3 linked regions of the Macaca fascicularis genome follow. Each later gene encodes a partner of the first gene's protein in a complex. Links are inferred from orthologs where the notes say so. Each region holds a gene or a part of one and is shown in the gene's direction. Other genes may lie near its edges.

The links.
Region 2: the proteins of LCK (region 1) and CD8A are in contact, whole or in part, in an NMR structure (PDB 1Q69), measured with the Homo sapiens proteins. The link is inferred for Macaca fascicularis from reciprocal best matches to the Homo sapiens genes LCK and CD8A. Residues at the interface, in NP_001036236.1 of Homo sapiens: Cys20, Asn22, Cys23, Tyr25, Pro26, Ile27, Val28; in NP_001139345.1 of Homo sapiens: Arg212, Arg213, Val214, Cys215, Lys216, Cys217.
Region 3: the proteins of LCK (region 1) and CD4 are in contact, whole or in part, in an NMR structure (PDB 1Q68), measured with the Homo sapiens proteins. The link is inferred for Macaca fascicularis from reciprocal best matches to the Homo sapiens genes LCK and CD4. Residues at the interface, in NP_001036236.1 of Homo sapiens: Glu15, Ile17, Val19, Cys20, Asn22, Cys23, Tyr25, Pro26, Ile27, Val28; in NP_000607.1 of Homo sapiens: Ala429, Arg431, Ile435, Leu438, Leu439, Lys443, Thr444, Cys445, Gln446, Cys447.

What each region holds. Positions count from the first base shown.
Region 1 is NC_088375.1:202,744,231-202,751,399, reverse strand, and holds part of LCK (tyrosine-protein kinase Lck), read left to right. Parts: intron 1-4,072; coding exon 4,073-4,149; intron 4,150-4,240; coding exon 4,241-4,394; intron 4,395-4,478; coding exon 4,479-4,610; intron 4,611-7,169. UniProt on the Homo sapiens protein: Non-receptor tyrosine-protein kinase that plays an essential role in the selection and maturation of developing T-cells in the thymus and in the function of mature T-cells. Plays a key role in T-cell antigen receptor (TCR)-linked signal transduction pathways.
Region 2 is NC_088387.1:23,090,297-23,098,226, forward strand, and holds the start of CD8A (T-cell surface glycoprotein CD8 alpha chain), read left to right. Parts: upstream 1-3,173; 5' UTR 3,174-3,292; coding exon 3,293-3,341; intron 3,342-3,429; coding exon 3,430-3,783; intron 3,784-4,362; coding exon 4,363-4,473; intron 4,474-4,674; coding exon 4,675-4,785; intron 4,786-5,554; coding exon 5,555-5,585; intron 5,586-6,075; coding exon of another isoform or gene 6,076-6,106; exon of another isoform or gene 6,107-6,154; intron 6,155-7,930. UniProt on the Homo sapiens protein: Integral membrane glycoprotein that plays an essential role in the immune response and serves multiple functions in responses against both external and internal offenses. In T-cells, functions primarily as a coreceptor for MHC class I molecule:peptide complex.
Region 3 is NC_088385.1:7,725,062-7,732,230, forward strand, and holds part of CD4 (T-cell surface glycoprotein CD4), read left to right. Parts: intron 1-1,917; 5' UTR 1,918-2,112; intron 2,113-3,157; 5' UTR 3,158-3,224; coding exon 3,225-3,273; intron 3,274-3,392; coding exon 3,393-3,557; intron 3,558-7,169. UniProt on the Homo sapiens protein: Integral membrane glycoprotein that plays an essential role in the immune response and serves multiple functions in responses against both external and internal offenses.

The sequences.
Region 1 (7,169 bases):
CTGCTCTCCCCGCTGTCCCTGCCGGAGGGTGAAAGTACACCTTTTTTTCTGGCCCAAAGCTCAAGCAAGGAGGGTTTATTGAGCTTTCCTGGCCCCTAAAGACTCACCTCCAGCTGGGCGCAGTGGCTCAGGCCTGTAATCCCAGCACTTTGGGAGGCTGAGGCCAGCAGATCACGAGGTCAGGAGTTCGAGACCAGCCTGACCAACATGGTGAAACCCCGTCTCTACTAAAAATACAAAAATTAGCCAGGTGTGGTGGCGCATGCCTGTAATCCCAGCTGCTCAGAAGGCTGAGGCAGGAGAATCCCTTTAATCTGGGAGGATGAGGTTGCAATTGCAGTGAACCAAGATCATGCTACTGAACTCCAGCCTGGGTGACAGAGCTCTGTCTCAAAAAAAAAAAAAAAAAAAAAAAAAAAAGGCCGGGTGCAGTGGCTCACAGCTGTAATCCCAGCACTTTGGGAGGCTGAGACGGGCGGATCACCAGGTCAGGAGATCGAGACCATCCTGGCTAACACGGTGAAATCCCGTCTCTACTAAAAAATACAAAAAATTAACCAGGCGTGGTGGTGGGCACCTGTAGTCCCAGCTACTCAGGAGGCTGAGGCAGGAGAATGGCGTGAACCCGGGAGGCGGAGCTTGCAGTGAGCCGAGATCGCGCCACTGCACTCCAGCCTGGGCGACTGAGCAAGACTCCATCTCAAGAAAAAAAAAAAAAGAAAAAAAAAAAAAGACTCACCTCCAGGCATGTGAAAAAGGTATATCCTCTGATCCTGTCTGGGGGCGAGCCTAAGGTAGCAAGAATGTTCTGGAAGAGCATTCACCCCAACCTGCCCTGACCTGCCATTCTGTTTACCTTCTTCAAAGCCCTACCTTGATCTCAGGATGCTTGATCTCAGAAAGCGAATGGGTCCCTACCCCTGTTTCTCTCCCTTCTGCCCCTGAGCTTTGGGAGGGCAGATCTGCCCCGGAAGCCCTCTTTTTCAGTTCTGAGTGAGCCCCCCCACCCCGCACCCTTCTTGGTCTGATACTGGACAGAGTGAGAGCCCCAGGAAGAGGAATACGAGTTTCTAGCCTCAGCTTTGTTCACACCGATTTGCTGTGTGACAGGCCAAGTGCCTGCACTGTCTCTGGTGCTCAGTTTCCTCAAGAATAACAGCAGAAATCTAAATGGGCTCACCAGAATTAATACAGAGTATTCATCAAGGCCTCTAGCGTCTGACTGCCTGGGTCAGAAGTCTGGCTTCATGATTTTATGGCTTTGTGATAATTACATCACCTCTTTCTGTCATGGTTTCCTACTATAATAATGCATTAGTAACCTCCTCATAGGGTCTTGTGAGGATGAAATAATTAATGCATATATAGCAGTTAGAACTATGCCTACTTTAGGCCGGGTCCAGTGGCTCACGCCTGTAATCCCAACACTTTGGGAGGCCAAGGTGGGCGGATCATAAGGTCAGGAGATCGAGACCATCCTGGCTAACACAGTAAAACCCCATCTCTACTAAAAATAAAAAAAATTAGCCTGCGCGGTGGCGGGCACTTGTAGTCCCAGCTGCTCAGGAGGCTGAGGCAGGAGAATGACGTGAACCCAGGAGGCAGAGTTTACAGTGAGCCAAGATCGCACCACTGCACTCCTGCCTGGGCGATAGAGTGACACTTGGTCTCAAAAAAAAAAAAAAAAAAAAGGACTATGCCTACTTCCAGGTGTAGTGGCTCAAGCCTATAACCTCAGCACTTTGGGAGGCCAAGGTGGGTGGATCACTTGAGCCCAGAAGTTCAAGACCAGTCCGTGCAACATAGCGAGACCTCATTCCTACAAAAAATTTGTAAAAATTAGCCGAGCGTGGTGGTGTATGCCTGTAGTCCCAGCTACTTGGGAGGCTGAAGTGGGAGGACCACTTGAGCCCAGGAGGTTGAGGCTGCACTGAGCTGTGATTGCACCACTGCACTCCAACCTGGGTAACAGAGTGAGACCTTGTCTCAAAAAAACAAAACACAAAAAAACCACAAAACTATGGCTACTATATAGTAACTGATCAATAGGTTTGTCGCTGTTATCTGGCTCTGATTCTTTGGGAGTGTAAGATCTATCCTTCTTTCAGGAAGAGAAACAAGCTGTTCATTGGCTAATGGGAAATCGCAAATAGATTATGTCATGTGTATCTTTTTTTTTTTTTTGTCTCACTCTGTCCTCCAGGCTGGAGTGCAGCGGCACGATCTCAGCTCACTTCAACCTCCTCCTCCTGGGTTCTCATGCCTCAGACTCCCAAGTAACTGGGACCACAAGCATGTGCCACCATGCCTGGCTAATTTTTGTATTTTTAGTAGAGACAGGTTTTCACCTTGTTGGCCAGGCTGCTGTCGATCTCCTGACCTCAGGTGATCCTCCCGCCTTGGCCTCCCAAAGGGCTGGGATTACAGGTGTGAGCCACCATGCCCAGTCTATCATGTGTATCGACTTTGATTGGTGGTTGCTTGTAGCGCTGGAGAAGGATTCTGAGGTTCAATGGAAGTGAGTGCTGGGAATGATTAGTAACATCTGCCATGGACACAATGGAAGAATGGCAGTATATATATGTCTCCGTATTTGCTGTGTGTGGGGGAGGTCTTTGTCTTTGGTAACTAGTTCAGCACTCAAAGTGGGGACACTCAGGTTGCTGTCATCCTTTCACAGGGTTTTTTTTTTTTGAGACAGAGTCTCGCTCTGTCGCCCAGGCTGGAGTGCAGTGGCGTATTCTCAGCTCACTGCAAGCTCCGCTTCCCGGGTTCACGCCATTCTCCTGCCTCAGCATACTGAGTAGCTGGGACTACAGGCGCCCGCCACCGCGCCTGGCTAATTTTTTGTATCTTTAGTAGAGATGGGGTTTCACCGTAGTCTCGATCTCCTGACCTTGTGATCCACCAGCCTCGGCCTCCCAACGTGCTGGGATTACAGGCATGAGCCACCGCGCCCGGCCATTTCACAGGTTTTTTTTTTTTTTTTTTTTGAGACGGAGTCTCACGCTGTTGCCCAGGCTGGAGTGCAGTGGCGCGATCTCGGCTCACTGCAAGCTCCGCCTCCCGGGTTCCCGCCATTCTCCTGCCTCAGCCTCCTGAGTAGCTGGGACTACAGGCGCCCGCCACCGCGCCCGGCTAATTTTTTGTATTTTTAGTAGAGACGGGGTTTCACTGTGGTCTCGATCTCCTGACCTTGTGATCCGCCCGCCTCGGCCTCCCAAAGTGCTGGGATTACAGGCTTGAGCCACCGCGCCCGGCCCACAGGGTTTTAATCTCTTGGGAAGGGCCAGTGGTCATTCACTCCATCCTAGCAACTTCCACTCATGTCCAGCTGCCCTCCACTATTAGAGAGGTGGTCCTTCAGACCCCCAGACCCCCTCTTTCTGTATTCCATCCAATATATTCAGCACATTGTTATTGTTTCTTACTCTGGGCTGGGCACCAGGAACATGGATGGATGAAACAAGGTTCCTGTTGTCAAGGTTCCCCAGTTACAGGTACTGGGGAAACCAGAGTTTGTGCCATGGGAAAGTTCCAGCATGCCCATGGGAGTGTAGATGATGATCCAGTTTATTATGCCTGCTAAGATCTAGAGAGGCTTCCTAGAGGGGCAGTCTAACTGGGCCATGAAAGAAAAGTAGAATTTTTTTTAGCAGGCAGAGATGAAATAAAGAGGCTTTGGGGTGACAGCCTAGTAGTCTGAGTGCAGGATCTCAAAATTGTTAAAGTGTTTGAAGTCAAAGGCAGAGTGAGGGAAAGAGAAGAAGCTACCAGTGTCGCCCATGTCAAGCTTTGGATACTAGTTGAGGAGTCTGAATTCTACCTTATTGATGATGAAAAACCTACAGATCCCTCCCAGCGTGCTCTACCCTAGCCCCTCCCTCTGCAAAAAAACCTTCACATATCCTGGGCATCCTTACCCTGAACACACACTCCTCCATTCTCACTCTTCACTCTTCCTTTTCACATGTCAGACACACTTCCAGACATGTGAAAAGGGTCTGGGAGAAGGGTCTGGGGACCTCCTCCTGGGGCAACTTAGGCCAGCAACTCTTGCTTCTGCCCACAGGGAGTCTAGTGGATTTTCTCAAGACCTCTTCAGGCATCAAGTTGACCATCAACAAACTCCTGGACATGGCAGCCCAAGTAAGGAGACTGGGGAGGGGCTGGGCAAGGGCACAGGCCAGTGGCGTGAAGACATCTGGCTCAGGATTGCTGATCTGTGTTTGTCCTGCAGATTGCAGAAGGCATGGCATTCATTGAAGAGCGGAATTATATTCATCGTGACCTTCGGGCTGCCAACATTCTGGTGTCTGACACCCTGAGCTGCAAGATTGCAGACTTTGGCCTAGCACGCCTCATTGAAGACAACGAGTACACAGCCAGGGAGGGTAAGTGTGAGATTTAAGGGTGATCTGGGCCCTGCAGGGTCTAGCCAAGCAGACCCAGGTGACCTCACTCTGCCTCCTCCTTAGGAGCCAAGTTTCCCATTAAGTGGACAGCGCCAGAAGCCATTAACTATGGGACATTCACCATCAAGTCGGATGTGTGGTCTTTTGGGATCCTGCTGACGGAAATTGTCACCCATGGCCGCATCCCTTACCCAGGTTAGAGCCAAGGGCAGGAACTGAAAGGGTGATGGGAAGGGCAGCAAGTCCATGTCTCCCCACTCAATTCTTTCCAGTCTCAGAATCTGAAACTTTGTAGTTGCATCTCCTCTATCCTTTCAGGGGTATGACTCCAACATCCCAAGGCAGATGCCACATCTCCCAGAGCTGGCTTCCATCTCTGTATCTCTCTTTAATAACCCCAGCTCTTTTCTTTTTCTCTTTTTTTGAGGTGGAGTCTAGCTCTGTCGCCCAGGTTGGAGTGCAGTGGCGCCATCTCGGATCACTGCAACCTCTGCCTCCTGGGTTCAAGCAATTCTCCTGCCTCAGCCTCCCAAATAGCTAGGATTACAGGTGCGTGCCACCATGCCCGGCTAGTTTTTTGTATTTTTAGTAGAGACGGGGTTTCACCATGTTAGCCAGGATGGTCTCAATCTCCTGACCTCGTGATCCACCCGCCTCGGCCTCCCAAAGTGCTGCGATTACAGGCATGAGCCACCGCGCCCGGCCCCAGCTCTTTTCTTTAGTTGTGGCCCAGGCAGCCTAGTATGGTAGAAGAGGATCTAGCTCAGAAACAAGAGGCCTACCTTTTATTAGCAGATCTGCCACTGTTGCTAACTTTCTGTTTGGCTTTGTTCAGATCATTCCTTCTTTCCCATCTGTTCTCATTTCTAATATGAGATTAGAACAGTGCTTGGTCAATACTAAGCTATTATCAATCATCACTTTGAACTAGTCACTTCACTTCTCTGAGTCTCAGTTTCCTGATATTAAAAATAAGAGACTAGGCCAGGTACAGTGGCTCATGCCTATAATCCCAGAACTTTGGGAGACCAAGGTGGGAGGATGGCTTGAGCCCAGAAGTTCGAGACCAGCCTGGGCAACAGGTTGAAACCCCATCTCTACAAAAACAAAAATTAGCCAGGTTTGGTGGCATGTGCCTGTAGTCCCAGCTACTCAGAAGGCTGAGGTGGGAGGATTACCTGAGCCAGGGAGGGAGAGGTTGCAGTGAGCCAAGATCATGCCATAGCACTCCAGCCTAGGGCAACAGACCAAGACCCTGCCTCAAAAAAAGAAAAAGAGAGACTCCATCTCTTCCCCCCCCCAAAAAAAAAAAATTAAAAATTAGCTGGGCATGGTGGCACACACCTGTAGTTTCAGCTTTTTGGGAGGCTGAGGTGGGAGGATCGCTTGAGCCCAGGAGGTTGAGGGTGCAGTGAGCCATGATCGTTCTATTGCACTCCAGCCTGAGCAACAGAGAGAGAACTTGTCTCAAAAAAAAAAAAAAAAAAAAAAAAAGGAAAAATGAGAGACCATTTGTGAAAGAGCCTGACTCATAGTAGGTTGTCAGTATACACTGACTCCCTCACCATCTCCTGGACAAAGCCCTTTACCCCTGAATTCAGCCAAGACAGGGATGGAATTTTTTGAAAGGAACTTGCTAAGAAACTCTGGGGAGAGGAAATGGAGCACAAAGACAACGGAGTAGGGAGGCGCGGCACAGTGGCTAAATTTATAGAAGCGTCCCACATCCCCAGAGTAAGGTGAACAGACCTTTGCTCCAAGGAAGGTAAAGACACCTTGGAAGGCCGGATGTGGTGGCTCACGCCTGTAATCCTAACACTTTGGGAGGCCGAGGCTGGTGGATCACAAGGTCAGGTGTTTGAGACCAGCCTGACCAACATGGTGAAATCCCATCTCTACTTAAAAAAAACAAAATTAAAAATTAGCCGGGCCTGGTGGTGCGTACCGGTAATCCCAGATACTCAGGCGGCTGAGGCAGGAGAATTGCTTGAACCTGGGAGGCAGAGGTTGCAGTGAGCCGAGGTCGTGCCACTGCACTCCAGCCTGGGCGACAAAGCGAGACTCCGTCTCAAAACAAAAACAAAAACAAAAAAACACCTTGGAGACAGGTGAAAAGCTGAGGGGCTTCCCTGCCCTGGGCTTGCCCCAACCCAGAGTCCAGGGGTAGTGCTGGAGCTGGAAATATGGAAATACTCTCCAGTTATCCTGCCAGGGGTCCTCACTGCTCCTCGCCTATTCCCACAGAAGGAAACCCATAGGGAATGTATCTATTAGAAGAAAATAGGCAGTGAAAGCATGATGATAAATGGAAACTGACATGTAGCATTAGGGTCAGGGAGACAATGGGGAGAAATGGGGACCTTGGTAAACTTGCAGCTGCTCCAGCAGATGGTTGCAATTAAGGCGTGGGGGACCTGAAAAACTAGATCTTTTTTTTTTTTTAAGAGAAGCCAAAACTTGGAGTTTTAGGAAAATTTGTTCATTTCCATTTATTGGCGATCGAGTCAAATTGTTTAAAAGCACTCTAGGGGCTGGGCACGGTGACTCATGCCTGTAATCCCAGCACTTTGGGAAGCTGAGGTGGGCAGATCACAAGGTCAGGAGTTCGAGACCAGCCTGGCCAACATGGTGAAACCCCACCTCTGCTAAAAATACAAAAATATTAGCCAGGCGTAGTGGTGGGACCTGCAGTCCCAGCCACTAAGGAGGCTGAGACAGGAGAATCACTTGAACCCTGGAGGCAGAGGTTGCAGT
Region 2 (7,930 bases), on another chromosome or scaffold:
CCAACCCAGCCCTCTGCACACCTGGTCTACAGAAAGTGTCTCCAGAACTCGTGCAATTGCATCTGTTCTGCCTACTGCAAGGCGGATGTCATTGTGGTTACATCGAAAATCCACCACATTCTGCAAAAAATATCATTGGGGTCACAAAGCCTCCTTGATGGGTTTGACATGTTGCCTTGTCCTCTCCCCTCCAACCCCCGTGGTGCTCTGTACAAAGGGGCTGCCACCCCCCGGCTGACACTTTTCTGAGCTGCAGGGCTAGAAGGCCCCCAAGCTGATTTCCGCAAGACTAAGATGGAACTACTCTATTTTAAAGCAGTACACCCCCAAATCTGGTCATCATCATACTCAGGGTCCTGATTCCCAAGATCCAAATATGTGGAGGTTGACTCTGGCCCCCTCCATGCTTCCACCACTGGGCAAGTGCAGTTTCGTATCTAGTCATCTTCCTTACCACCCTCTTGATTGTAGCCTTTGGCCAGCAGGGCCATTTGACACTCCTGATACAGTGCTGGTGGTACTGAGCAAAATGGCAAACTACCATCTACAGCAAGGATTGATGTGTTGGTGGCCTGTCTGGACTTGATTTCTTCCTTGTCTCCCTCATTCATGTGAGTTGAGGGACAGCACTGCGTCTACACAGCGAGGGACCCACATACCATGCACACACGCACACACATACACACACACACATGCATACATCGATATGCCAGTTATAACCATCATTGCAAAGGTGTTTTCTTTCCCAGCTACCTCATCTTCCATCTGAAAAAGCTGCAGGTACTGGTGCAAGCCCTCAGTGATACAGATACATTATATCTACTACAGCCTTGCTAGTGTTGCAATAATGAGAAATTGCCTAAATGTCCACTAACAGCAGAATTACATTATGGAACACCCACATAAAATGCCCCCATTTATAAGAATGAGGTGGATCTACATCTGCTGAAAGTTCTCCTTCCACTGTGAAACAAAATATCTTGCAAAAATACATATCTTATACAATCCCACGTGTCTAAGATGATGTATAAACATCTGTTTAGGTACAGATAATATCTGAGGGACACATTCAACTGTAACAGTGGTTTTCTGTGGGGAGCAGATGACAGTGATGAGAGTTGAGACAGGGGACTTTGTGTTTGTTTTTGTACAATAATATATTGCACTGTTGTCACTTAAAAGACATTTTTTTAAATTTCAGAATATAAAACGTTACATGTTCCATGTTAGAATAAGCATCTTGGATGCTTTGAGGGAGCTGGAAGGAGGTACTGAAATCCAAATAATTAAAAAAAGAAAAAAAAGCCCATCCAGGCCCCGATATGGTGGCTCACACCTGTAATCTCAACACTTTGGAGGCCAAGGCGGGGCAGAGTACTTGACCTCAGGTATTGGAGACCAGCCTGGGCAACATGGTGAAACCCCATCTCTACCAAAAATGCAAAAACTCAGCCCGGCATGGTGGTGCGCACCTGTGGTCCCAGCTACTTGGGAGGCTGAGGTGGAAGGATCACTCGAGCCTGGGAGGTAGAGGCTGCAGTGAGCTGAGATCGTGCCACTGCACTCCAGCCTGGGCAACAAAGCCAGACTCCATCTCAAAAAAACAACCAACCAACAGCAACAACAACAACAACAGAAAACCATCCAACACTTAAGTTTGGGCCTCACAAGGATAAGGAGAGTGTAGTTCAACAAGCACAGCTCAGCCCATGCTGTGTTTCTGGGGATGGAGGACACATCATGAAGTCTGGGGCATGGTCCTCACCCAGCAGAACTCATAGGTGGGGCAGACAGACATGTGGAACACAGAATGCCAGGTGTCTTGTCTCTAGGATCAAGCAGTAGTAATGTGAGGTGCAGCCACAGTGGGATTCAAAGTGGAAAGATTCAGAAGCCCGGAAGAAATGGGAAGAGGGCATGCCACTGGGGTTAGAAGGTTTCAGGACAGAAACAGGCAAAAAGGAAGGATGAGCCTGTAGTCGCAGCTACTCAGGAGGCTGGGGCAGGAGGATCACTGGAGCCCAGGAGTCCCAAGGCCAGCCTGAGTAAAACAGCGAGACTCCAGTCTTTAAAAAAAGAAAGAAAGAAAGAAAGAAACAGAAAGGAAGGGGACACATGTGTGCTAGGGACAGAAGAGAGAAAACTGCCTCTACCCAAGCATTCACCCACGTCACCCACACCTCCCCGCCGAGCGCCCAGAGCTGGGGGTGAAAGAAATGAGGTCCAAATGAGACTGCACAGGAGCTGCCTCCAGGGCTTTCACAGACCAGCATTCCAGGCAGATCTACAGCAAGTGCAAGGGCGTGAAAGCACAGAGCGCAGGGGTTGAATAACCTCAAGCCTGTGAAGCTGCAGCTGCAGCTGCAGGTGTTTGGGAAAGGCAGGGCAGGGGGCTGTGCGGAGGCTGGGAGGAGCCAGCACCCAAGGGCTGGTCAACCAAGCTGAGGGTTGAGTTTCCATCCAGCAATGCAGGCCATGGGAGGCTGCAGGAGTGACGCTGTTAGATCCCCTTTATGAGAATAATTTTTATAACAACGTGGCTGGAGGACTGGTCAGGAGAGAGACTAGTGTGGGGGCTGTTGCAAAGACTCCAAGAAGAGATGCGACTGTTTGGTGAGTTTAGCCGCTGGATGAAAGGCCGGAAGGATGAGGTCAGCAGCGCACTGACACTGCCACCCAAAGCTTCGGCTGCTGCCGCCCTCATGGAAATTTCCTGGGGGAAGGGAGAGGGCCCTTCCTCGGTGAACACTGGGGCTGCTCTGCGCGAGTTCCTGAGAAGCGGGCAGGTGGCTAGCTCCTCTTCCTTTTCAGCCCTCAGTGCCCATTTTGCCAACAAAAAGGGTGACAGTATAAGAGACGCCTTTAGTGAAGGCAAAGGAAGGGACACTCCCCTCCTTTCCTGCCGACTCTCGCCCTCACTTCTTGAAATCTTTGATCTCCCTTCACCCACTCTGTCACTCTCCTAACACAACCATTTCCAGGGACTATTTCCAAGCCCTTTTCCTCATCCCCGAACCTGCAGTTTTCAGCTGCCCCCAGTTGCCTGACCAGGCTGCCTCGACGGCCCCATTCACAGGCCCCAGACTCCTCACCGGGCTGGAAGGCGACAACCGCGAAAAGGAGGGTGACTCTCCTCGGCGGGGGCTTCGGGTGACATCACATCCTCCAAATGCGAAATCAGGCTCCAGGCCGGCCGAAGGGCGCAACTTCCCCCCCTCCGCTCCCCACCGGCTCCCGCGCGCCTCCCGTGGCGCCCGAGCTTCGAGCCGAGCCGCGTCCTGGGGAGCGCGTCATGGCCCCACCCGTGACCGCCTTGCTCCTGCCGCTGGTCTTGCTGCTCCGTGAGTTTGCGACCCCCGGAAAGGCAGGGGATGGGGCGGGCGGGGGGCGCGGGACTCGGGGCTCAGCCTCGCTTCCTGCTGCCTGCAGACGCCGCCAGGCCAAGCCAGTTCCGAGTGTCGCCGCTGGGTCGGACCTGGAACCTGGGAGAGACGGTGGAGCTGAAGTGCCAGGTGCTGCTGTCCAACCCGACGTCGGGCTGCTCGTGGCTCTTCCAGCCGCGCGGCACCGCCGCCCGCCCCACCTTCCTCCTATACCTCTCCCAAAACAAGCCCAAGGCGGCGGAGGGGCTGGACACCCAGCGGTTCTCGGGCAAGAGGTTGGGGGACACCTTCGTCCTCACCCTACGTGACTTCCGCCAAGAGAACGAGGGCTACTATTTCTGCTCGGCCCTGAGCAACTCCATCATGTACTTCAGCCGCTTCGTGCCGGTCTTCCTGCCAGGTCCGGGCGCGGGGTGCGGCACCTCTCCGCGTGGGGCTTGGGGTTCACCTCAACCTGTTTTCCACACACAGGTCCTGCTTTCAAGCCTCTTAGGGCACCTGGAAGAGACTTAGATATTGTTCCCATTTCACAGACACAGCAAACTGAGGCTAACGTGCGGCTGAGTAGGGACTAGGAATAGTGTTTTACGTCCGGCCGATCTGGGCTCGAGTTCGGATGCTTGTGTGGTTTTGGGCAAATGACTTAAATTCTCTACGCCTCCGTTTGTTCGTGGGTAAAATGCGGACAGCAATCAACCCGCGCTCCAGGGTTGCTGGTTGCCCGGGAGAGAGGACAGGTGCAGGGGAGCGGGCTCCTACGCTCGGGCCGGGCGCCGCGTGCGCTTGGCTAAGCCAAGGCCCGAGCACAGGGGTCCGCGCGCATTCCGAGGTACCCATCCCGTCTCCTCTGCCATCCCTTCTCCCAGGAAAACCGGGGGGGAGGTGTTCCCGTGGGGAAAGGCGCGCGAGGCTGGGGCCGGGGCGGGGGCGCGTCCATAATCCCAGACTGGCCCCCAACCACGCTCTGTTGCCCCTGCAGCGAAGCCCACCACTACGCCAGCGCCGCGACCCCCCACACCGGCGCCCACCACCGCGTCGCAGCCCCTTTCCCTGCGCCCAGAGGCGTGCCGGCCAGCGGCGGGGGGCTCAGGTGAGGCGTGCGGGGGCTCGGGGCGGGGGCGGCACGGACCGCGGGGAGAGCCCATGCCAAGGGGAGCCCTGATACTGTAGGTCAAGGGCTATCCAAGTGGTGGGAAACCGAGTCCTGAGGTGGAGAGACGTGCCTGGGATGGTGGGGCGGTTGAGAGGTCCCGGGCCCGCTCCTAAATGTCGGCGTCTTTGGTGTCGTCAGTGAACACAAGAGGGCTGGACTTCGCCTGTGATATCTACATCTGGGCGCCCTTGGCCGGGGCCTGCGGGGTCCTTCTCCTGTCACTGGTCATCACCCTTTACTGCAACCACAGTAAGTCCCGAGGAATCGCGGCCGGGAGGAGACGGCTCTGCTCCTGCCTTTGGCGCTGCTAGCTCCAGGCGGACCTTGCGGGGTGTGGGGTTGAGATTTCTGGGACTCCCGAGCTGCCCCGCAGGTACAGGCACTTCTTTCCTGGAGATAGAATGCGCGAAAGCCCTTCCCGCTCCTTGCGCTCTCAGAGAGGTTTTGGGAGACAAAGCCCTGTTCCCAGAGCCGCTGCAGCGGGTGTGTTCGGTCAGCGAAGCCCGCAGCGCGCGCACATGTCGGGACACACGACAAATGCCCGCCAGGAGGGGGCCGCTGTGCCCCTGGGTCAAGTGCCCAGGGGGGTTAAGTCAAAACCACGACCAGTTTGAGGTTCGTCCTTGGCCCTCTTCCCGCGAACCGCCTACTCTGCTTTGGGTCCCATGCAAGGGAGGTACCGGGTCAGGTCTGCAGGCTCCCTGCTTCCGCCCGCGTCTGTAGTTGCAATTTTAAAAAAATGGATGCTTGAGACGAAGGATGGGTAAGAAGCCCTTACCGGGCTCTCAAGAGTTATAATCCTCAAAGAAATAGGGGAAAGGAAGGAGAATTCGTAGGGGCCATTGCCTATTTGCCTCATCCAATTTCAGCCCATGATCGTTCTGAAATGATTTTTTGTAAAACCAAAAAACAGCAGCAGCAACAACAACAACAACAACAAAACAAAACAAAAACACTGTCTTTGGGGACTATTGGTGGATGGGGGCACTCACTTTTTCCCTTCTTTTTCCTTATCCAGGGAACCGAAAACGTGTTTGCAAATGTCCCAGGTGAGTCTCTTGGAACGCTCAGCCTGCTCACCTTGGCCAGCCCTGGGGTGGTCTCCTGGTTTCCCCAGTAGCAAATAGTAGCAACTTTTCCCAGAGAGAGGTCATGGCCGTGGAGTCCTGGGGCAGGGAGTCAGGTAGTTTCTGAGCAAAGAGAGGCCAAGGCTGGCATCTGGCCTGCATCCTTGAGAAAAAGTAGGCCCAGGTTAGGCTGGTGTCCACACAGTGTGACTCCAGTAAATCTCCATCTTATTTGGCCTGGCACTTAAAAAAAAAAAAAATACCTGAGGGATTCCCCCAATTCATCCGAGCTCCTTGGAGGACCTGACCTCCTCTTTATTGTGATTATTCCATCTGGGTTTTGTTGTTTTCTTAAGAAAATCTTTTTTTTTTTTCTACTTGGCTGGTCTAGTGTTTTGAGGGAGAGCCAGTCTTTTATCAGCTGAACCAAAAAAATAATGGCTTTGCTTCCTAATTTCTCTGTGTCATGTAGGACCTTGTTTTGCTGTCAAGGACTGGAGTAGAAAAAAGGGGAATGAGATGCAGGGACAATTAGCTCCCTGGCAGCTCAAGTGAGTGCCCCATCCAGTTTCAGCCCATGATCATTCTGAAATGATTAAAACACACACACACACTCATTGTTATAAACCTCCTCTCCACCCGTTGGCTGAGGCATCCCTGTGGTAGCATCTAACAAGTTCCTGCTCTAGTCAGACCTGTGATAGGGGTAATACACCCCATCTCTCTTAATCCTCACAGCAACCTTGCCCCATCTCATGGCTCAGGGATTAGTAAAGTGGCAAAGGCACAATTAAACTCAGATTATCAATAATAATAACCATTTGATGAAAGCCTCTAATGCATGTTACTTGCTTTATAGATAGACTTTTTTAAAGTTTTATAACAACCTTTAAAGTAGTCACGATTACCTGCATTGTACAAATAAGGAAACTGAGGCTTAGAACATTTAGTGATTTGTCCAAGGTCATACTGCCGGGGAGCTGCAACTTCCATCCAAAGCTCAGACACCTTCCCCATGGTTGCAGGCTGAAGTGTTAAGGATAACCGAATATGTACACCAGTTCTATTCAGTAGATGAAATATTTTACATTTTATACCTGGAGTTTGCATTTTATACGCCTGTACATTTTTCTGAGGAAATCCAAATTCAGGACTTTACACATTGTTATTTTTACCAATAAAAATGCAATGAATTTCCAATGCATATGTTATAGGTGATATGCTAAGGGGATAAAGACTGTTTAAAAATCAGCCGGGTATTGTGGTGCATACCTATAATCGAAGCTACTCAGGAGGCTGAGGCAGGAGAATCTCTTGAACCCAGGAGGCGGAGGTTGCAGTGAGCTGAGATCGTACCACTGCACTCCAGCCTGGGTAACAGCAAGATTCCATCTCAAAAAAAAAAAAAAAAAAAAGAAAAGTTTTAGCATTTTAATTATTCAGGGTACACTTGGGAACTTTTGTAGGAGAATCATCCCTTTTCCCAAAACTCTGATTTTGAGATGAATAACTGAGAATAAAGTTCTGCCTTAAAATACAAAGCTATACAGATTAAACACATCTGGGGAATTCCAACACCTGAGTTAATATACTCAGTGATGATGGTGGGCCGCTCCGCTTCAACAGAGAGATTTTAGAGGGCTGAGAGTGCAGACATGACACTCATGATGAATTAGCATGTCTACGAGGTGCCAGCCTGGTGCTGAATTCACACTTTTTTTTTTTTTCTTTCTTTCTTTCTTTTTTTTTTTTGAGATGGCGTCTGGCTCTGTCGCCCAGGCTGGAGTGCAATGGTGTGATCTTGGCTCACTGCAACCTCTGCCTCCTGGGTTCAAGTGATTCTCCTGCCTTAGCCTCCTGAGTAACTGGGACTACATGCGCCCGCCACCACGCCCAGCTAATTTTTATATTTTTAATAGAGATGGGGTTTCACCATGTTGACCAGGATGGTCTCGATCTCTTGACCTCGTGATCCGCCGGCCTTGGCCTCCCAAAGTGCTGGGATTACAGGCTTGAGCCACCGCACCCGGCCACTAACACGTTTTTAGCGTAACATCATTTGGCTGATGATGGTGATTTGCTCACATCCTCCTCTCTCCCTGTGATCCTCCAGGGCTGAGAATCAGGTCAGCTAATGACTTTGGTTATCAGTCTCACTCTCACACCTCTGTGGAGACCTTGACAAGGGCTCCAGGAAGCTACACTAACTCCGTTTAATCCTGGCTCAACCACCACCTAGATGTGTGACCTTGGGCAAGTTTAACTTCTCAAGCTCAGCGCCCACCCTTAAGGCTGCGGTGAGGATTACATGAGATGCCGCAAGTAAG
Region 3 (7,169 bases), on another chromosome or scaffold:
CTTCATCCAAACCCTGGACCAACGCCTTCTGCTTGGCCCACTCAGAGGCCTTGTAGGGTTGGTCTGAAATTGGACAGAGAAATGGTCCTCTGCTCTTTCTCCCCTGACCTCTCTGAAAGGGGCCTGCCCTCCACACCTGTGGGTATTTCTTGCAAGGTGGAGACTGAGAGACTGAGAAAAGAAATAAGACACAGAGACAAAGTATAGAGGAAGAAAATGGGGCCCAGGGGACCAGCACTCAGCAAGTGAGGACCTGCACTGGTGCTGGTCTCTGAGTTCCCTCAGTATTTATTGATCACTATCTTTACTATGTCGGCAAGGGGAATGTGGTGGGGCTCTAGGGTGAAGGTGAGGAGAGGGTCAGCAGAAAAACATGTGGGCAAAGACTCTGTGTCATAAATAAGTTTAAGGAAAGGTGCTGTGCCTGGATGTGCATATAGGCTAGATTTATGTTTAACTTTACACAAACATCTCAGTACAGTAAAGAGTAACAGAGTAGTGTTGCTGCCATGATGTATCTCCTCCAGCCATAAGGCAGTTTTCTCCTCTCTCAAAATGGAATGTATGATCGGTTTTACACCGAGTCATTCCATTCCCAGGGACGCGCAGGACACAGATACCTTCCTCTTATCTCAACCGCATAGAGGCCTTCCTCTTTCACTAATCCTCCTCAGCGCAGACCCTTTACAGCTGTGGGGCTGCGGGGCTGTAAGGTCTTTCCCTTCCCGTGGGGCCATATCTCAGGCTGTCTCAGGGGGGAAATCCTGGACAATACCCAGGCTTTCTCGGGCAGGGGTTCCTGCAGCTTTCCACAGTGCATTGTGTCTCTGGTTAATAGAGAATGGAGAATGGCAATGACTTTCACCAAGCATACTGCCTGCAAGAACTTTTTTTTTTTTTTTGAGATGGAGTCTTGCTGTCACCCAGGCTGGAGTGCAGTGGCGTGCTCTCAGCTCGCTGCAAGCTCCGCCTCCCGAGTTCACGCCATTCTCCTGCCTCAGCCTCCCGAGTAGCTGGGACTACAGGCGCCCGCCACCTCGCCCGGCTAGTTTTTTGTATTTTTTAGTAGAGACAGGGTTTCACCGTGTTAGCCAGGATGGTCTCGATTTCCTGACCTCGTGATCTGCCCGCCTCGGCCTCCCAAAGTGCTGGGTTTACAGGTGTGAGCCACCGCGCCCGGCCTGCAAGAACTTTTTTAAAGCACATCTTGCACAGCCCTAGATCCATTAAACCTTGATTCAATATAGCACATGTTTTTGTGAGCACAGGTTTGGGACAAAAGTTGCAGATTAATAGCATCTCAAAGCAGAACAATTTTTCTTAGTACAGATCAAAACGGAGTTTCTTATGTCTTCTTTTTTTTTTTTTTTTCCCCCGAGACGGAGTTTTGCTCTTGTTGCCCAGACTGTACTGCAATGACACAATCTCAGCTCACAGTAACCTCTGCCTCCCGGGTTCAAGCAATTCTCCCGCCTCAGCCTCCCTGGTAGCTGGGATTACAGGCGTGTGCCACCGCGCCTGGCTAATTCTGTATTTTTAGTAGAGCCGGGGTTTCTCCATGTTGGTCAGGCTGTCATGAACTCCTAACCTCAGGTGATCTGCCTGCCTCGGCCTCCCAAAATGCTGGGATTACAGGTGTGAGCCACCGCAGCCGGTCAATGTCTTTCTTTTTCTACACAGACACAGTAACAATCTGATCTCTCTTTCTTTTCCCCACACCTCTCACACTATATCAGGCCCCAATCCTTGGGAATGTCACCTTAGAACTGTCCCACACATTCCCACAGCCACTTGGCTCAGGCCCTTTGTTCACCAGGATGGTTGCAGTCCTGCCTTTGGTGCCTCACCTCCTCCAGTTCTTTCACTCAGCAGCTTCAGGGGTCCACGTGGCAAATCTAATCACCTTCTTCTCTATAGAAAATCCTCTGCTGGCTCTCTAGTGCCCAGGATCCAGTCGCAGCATCTCAGCACAGCCTTCAAGCATTTCCACGTCCTGGCCTGGCTCCATGGTCTCCCCACCAATTTGTCACCTTCTCCGTGCATCCTTTTCTGATCCCCTCTTCACTCATCCCAGCAAAGAACCCCCTCCTGGCCTGAGCATAGCATTTCGTGGTGTGTATCTCCGAGCATCCAGTTAGGAGTGTGCAAGTTTAGTTTGTTACCAACTGATGTTGTGAAGTCCCACAACCATCATTTGTTGGTGCCACAAACAAAGAATTGGACATGACACACACAAATAGCAAAACAGCAAAAAGTTTATTAAGCACGGTACAATCCACTATGGATCGAGGATGACCAGCGAATGGTGTCAGTTATGGTTTGTTATACTTCATGCCTTTTCTATGTGTCTTTTTCTCTTCTTCCTCAAGCTGCCTAATCTTTAGCTGGCATGTGCCTTTTGATTGACAGGTGAGTTGCTCAGTTTCTTGGCCTCTGTGTGCTTGTGTGTCACCTCCTTCCCATAATTTTAAGTACATGCATGATATGCACTCTGAACCTTAAGTAGCCAATTACTATATGGGGTCATTTTAAGGATATCTTCTTTTCTCTGGAGTACATGTGCTTTTTTTTTTTTTTTTTTTTGAGGAGTCTCGTTCTGTCCTCCAGGCTAGAGTGCAGTGGCACAATCTCGGCTCACTGCAACCTCCACCTCCCTGGTTCAAGTGATTCTCCTGCCTCAGCCTCCTGAGTACCTGAGACTACAGGTGTATGCCACCATGCCCGGCTCATTTTTGTATTTTTAGTAGAGTCAGGGTTTCACCATGTTGGCCAGGCTGATCTTGAACTCCTGACCTCAAGTGATCCACCCACCTTGGACTCCCAAAGTGCTGGGATTACAAGCATGAGCCACTGCACCCAGCCCAGTACATGCCCATCTCTTAGGAGCTCCTCCTTACTGGTTTGGTTTGGATCTAGCCAGCCATGGGGCTCCTTATTCACTTATTTATCTTACTTCTGTTTTTGCTCACTTCCTTCTTTCTCTTGCTTGTGCTCCTACTCATTCCTTCCTTAATCCAACCTCCAATTCCCTCTGCTGTTCTCCTACCTCAAGTTCACTGGGCTGGCTGCAAGGGTCCTGAGGGAGAGGTTGCATATGGCCCCTGTATACTCCAGGTCAAATAAATGTTTGCTGACTAATGATTGGTATTTCCCTCAGGCCCTGCCATTTTTGCAGGCTCAGGTCCCTACTGGCTCAAGCCCCTGCCTCCCTCAGCAAGGCCACAATGAACCGGGGAATCCCTTTTAGGCACTTGCTTCTGGTGCTGCAACTGGGTAAGTTCTCAGACCTGGGGTCTCAATGCAGATGGCGTGGGAGGAAAGGCAAAGGTGGAGGATGGGGTAGAGGGGGACAGCGGCAGCATTGGGACCTGACTCCTTTCTTTTCCACCCAGCGCTACTCCCAGCAGTCACCCAGGGAAAGAAAGTGGTGCTGGGCAAGAAAGGGGATACAGTGGAACTGACCTGTAATGCTTCGCAGAAGAAGAACACACAATTCCACTGGAAAAACTCCAACCAGATAAAGATTCTGGGAATTCAGGGCTCCTTCTTAACTAAAGGTAGGGCTCCCTGGCCCCCCATCCAGGGAGGAAAACACACTATGGATTGAAAGCCTTTGGTGTCTGAGATCTGCTCTTAGTTAAACTTTGGGATCCCAGAGGGCTGGGGTTGACAGAAACTCAGTGGCATTCTTGTCCAGAGTTTCCCTACACCAACTGCTGGTGGCCCAGGGAAAGGCTTTTGGTGGTATGTTAATTTGAATATTTTAATATTCATGAACTTATTTTAGTGAGTTTTACAACAATCACTACCACTTAACACCCATGATTTCTTGAGTATTGTTGCTACAGACCCATGTAGATAATATTTTGCACAGTGACTCATATCTGTAATCCTAGCACTGTGGGAGGCCGAGGCTGGAGGATTGCTTGAGTCCAGGAGTTCAAGACCACCCTGAGAAACATAGTGAGACTCTGTCTCTACAAAAAAAAAAAAAAAAAAAAAAAAAAAAAAAATATATATATATATATATATATATATATAGAGAGAGAGAGAGAGAGAGAGAGAGAGAGAGAGAGAGACAAGGTCTGGTTCTATCACCCAAGCTCCATTGCAGTGGTGTGATCTCGGCTCGCTGCAATCTCCACCTCCCAGGCTCAAGTCATCCTCCCACCTCAGCCTCACAAGTAGTTGGGACTACAGGCATGCACCACCGTGCCTGGCTAATTTTTGTATTTTTTGTAGAAACAGGGTTTCACCATGTTGGCCAGGCTGGTCTCGAACTCATGAGCTCAAGTGATCCACTAACCTTGGCCTCTCAGAGTGCTGGGATTACATGCCGAGCCAAAAAAATTTTTTTAATTAAAAAAAAAAGGCTAGCTGTAGTGGCTCACACCTGTAATCCCAGCACTTTGGGAGGTTGAGGTGGGCAGATCACCGCAGGTCAGGAGTTCAAGACCAGCCTGGCCAACATGGTGAAACCTGGTCTCTACTAAAAATACAAAAATTAGCCGGGCGTGGTGGTGCAGGCCTGTATTCCCAGCTACTCAGGAGGCTGAGGCAGGAGAATCACTTGAACCTGGGAGGCAAAGGCTGAAGTGAGCTGAGATTGCACCATTGCACTCCAGCCTGGGTGACAGAGCAAGACTCTATTTCAAAAAAAAAAAAAAAATTGCAGAATTATTATTATTATTTTATTTATTTATTTATTTATTTGAGACGGAGTCTCATTCTGTCGCCCAGGCTGGAGTGCAGTAGCGTGATCTTGGCTCACTGCAACCTCTGTCTCCCGGGTTCAAGCGATTCTCCTGCCTCAGCCTCCTAAGTCGCTGGGACTACAGGCATGTGCCACCATGCCTGGCTAATTTTTTGTACTTTTAGTAGAAACAGGGTTTCACTGTGTTAGTCAGGCTGGTCTTGATCTCCTGACCTCATGATCCACCCGCCTTGGCCTGCCAAAGTGCTGGGATTACAGGCGTGAGTCACTGTGCCTGGCCCAGAATTTTTTTTTCTACTTTTTTTTTTTTTTTTGAGGCAAACTCTCGATCTGTTGCCCAGGCTGGAGTGCAGTGGGCATGATCTTGGCTCACTGCAAGCTCTGTCTCCCGGGTTAAAGCCATTCTCCTGCCTCAGCTTCCTGAGTAGCTGGGACTACAGGCGTGTGCCACCATGCCTAATTTGTGTATTTTTAGTAGTGACAGGGTTTGATCATATTGGCCAGGTTGGTCTCGAACTCCTCACCTCAAGTGATTCGCCTGCCTTAGCCTTCCACAGTGCTGGAATTATAGGCATGAGCTACTGCACTCGGCCTTTTCTCCTGATTTAAAGTATTATATGCTCATCACAAAATATTTGGTCAACGAAGGAAAGAACATGGAAGAAAATCAAATGCATGCATACTTCTACCACTCAGAGATATCCTCTGCTAACATTTTGATTTATTTTCATCCAATGTTTCTTTTTTTTTTTTTCCTTTTTGAGACAGGGTCTTACTCTGTTGCCCAGGCTGGAGTGCAGTGGCATGACCACAACACATTGCAGGCTCAAGTTATCCTCCCACGTCAGCCTTCCCGGGAGCTGGGACTACAGGTGCACGCCACCATGTTCACCTAATTTTTAATTTTTTGTAGAGATGAGATTTCACCATGTTGCTCAGGCTGGTCTTGAATTCCTAGGCTCAAGTGATCCCATTTTGGTCTCCCAAAGTGCTGGGAAAATAGGTATAAGCCACTGCATGTGGCCTATTTTCTTCCACTCTTGGTCAGTGTGGATAATATTATATATATAATTATGTAAATGATATCATACTGTATATACCTGTTATCCTACTCCTTCCTTAAGCTATACCATAATGAGACTATCAATTATTAGACTAACTTTTTTTTTTTTTGAGACGGAGTCTTGCTCTGTCACCCAGGCTGGAGTGCAATGGCACGATCTCAGCTCACTGCAACCTCTGCCTCCCAAGTTCAAGCAATTCTCCTGCCTCAACCTCCCAAGTAGCTGGAACTACAGGCATGCACCACCACGCCCAGCTAATTTTTGTATTTTTTTAGTTTAGTCTCTTAGGAATGCCATAGCAAAATACCATGGACTGGGTGGTTTAAACAACAGAAATTTATTTATCACAATTCTGATTTCAGGATGCTAGCATGGTCAGATTATGAGGGATCTCTTCCTAGTTTGCAGGCAGTTGCCTTCTTGCTGTGTCCTCACATGGCAGAGAGAAACAGAAGAAAACTTTCTCTTTTTTTGAGATGGAGTTTCGCTCTGTTGCCCAGGCTGGAGTGCAGTGGCCCGATCTTGGCTCACTGCAATCTCTGCTTCCTGGGTTCAAGCAATTCTCCTGCCTCAGCCTCCCGAGTAGCTGGGTTTACAGGCACTTGCCACCGCACTCGGCTAATTTTTTTGTATTTTTAGTAGAAACGAGGTTTCACCATGTTGGCCAGGGTACTCTAGAGCTCCTGACCTCAAGTGATCCTCCTGCCTCAGTCTCCCAAAGTGCTGGGATTACAGGCATGAGCCACCGCACTCGGCCTCCTTGTGTGTGTGCGTGTTTTTATGTGTTTTTTTTTTTCTCAGACAGAGCCTCACTCGTATTGCCCAGGCTGGAGTGCAATGGCATGATCTCAGCTCACTGCAACCTTCACCTACCAGGTTCAAGTGATTCTCCTGCCTCAGCTTCCCAAGTAGCTGGGATTATAGTGCCTGCTACCACACCCAGCCAATTTTTGTGTTTTTAGTAGAGTCGGGGTTTCGCTCTGTTGGTCCGGCCAGCCTTGACCTCCTGACCTCAGATGATCCATCTACCTCAGCCTCCCAAAGTGCTGGGATTACAGGCATGAGCCACCACGACCGGTGAGAAAGAAAGCTTTTTGATGTCTTTTCCTATAAGGACACTAATCCCATCATGATGGCCCCATTCTCATAACCTCATCTAAACTGAATTACCTCCCAAGGGCCATATATCAAAATATCATCACACTGAGGGTGAGGGCTTCAACATGTGAATTTGTGGGGGACTCAATTTGGTCCATGGTATTCTGCACTGCCCCCTCAAATTTGTGTCCTTATTACATGAAAAATGCATTCATTCCATCTCAATAGCCTCCAAAGTCTTAACTCATTCCAGCATCAACTCCAAAGTCTAATGTCCAAAGTTTCATCTACAT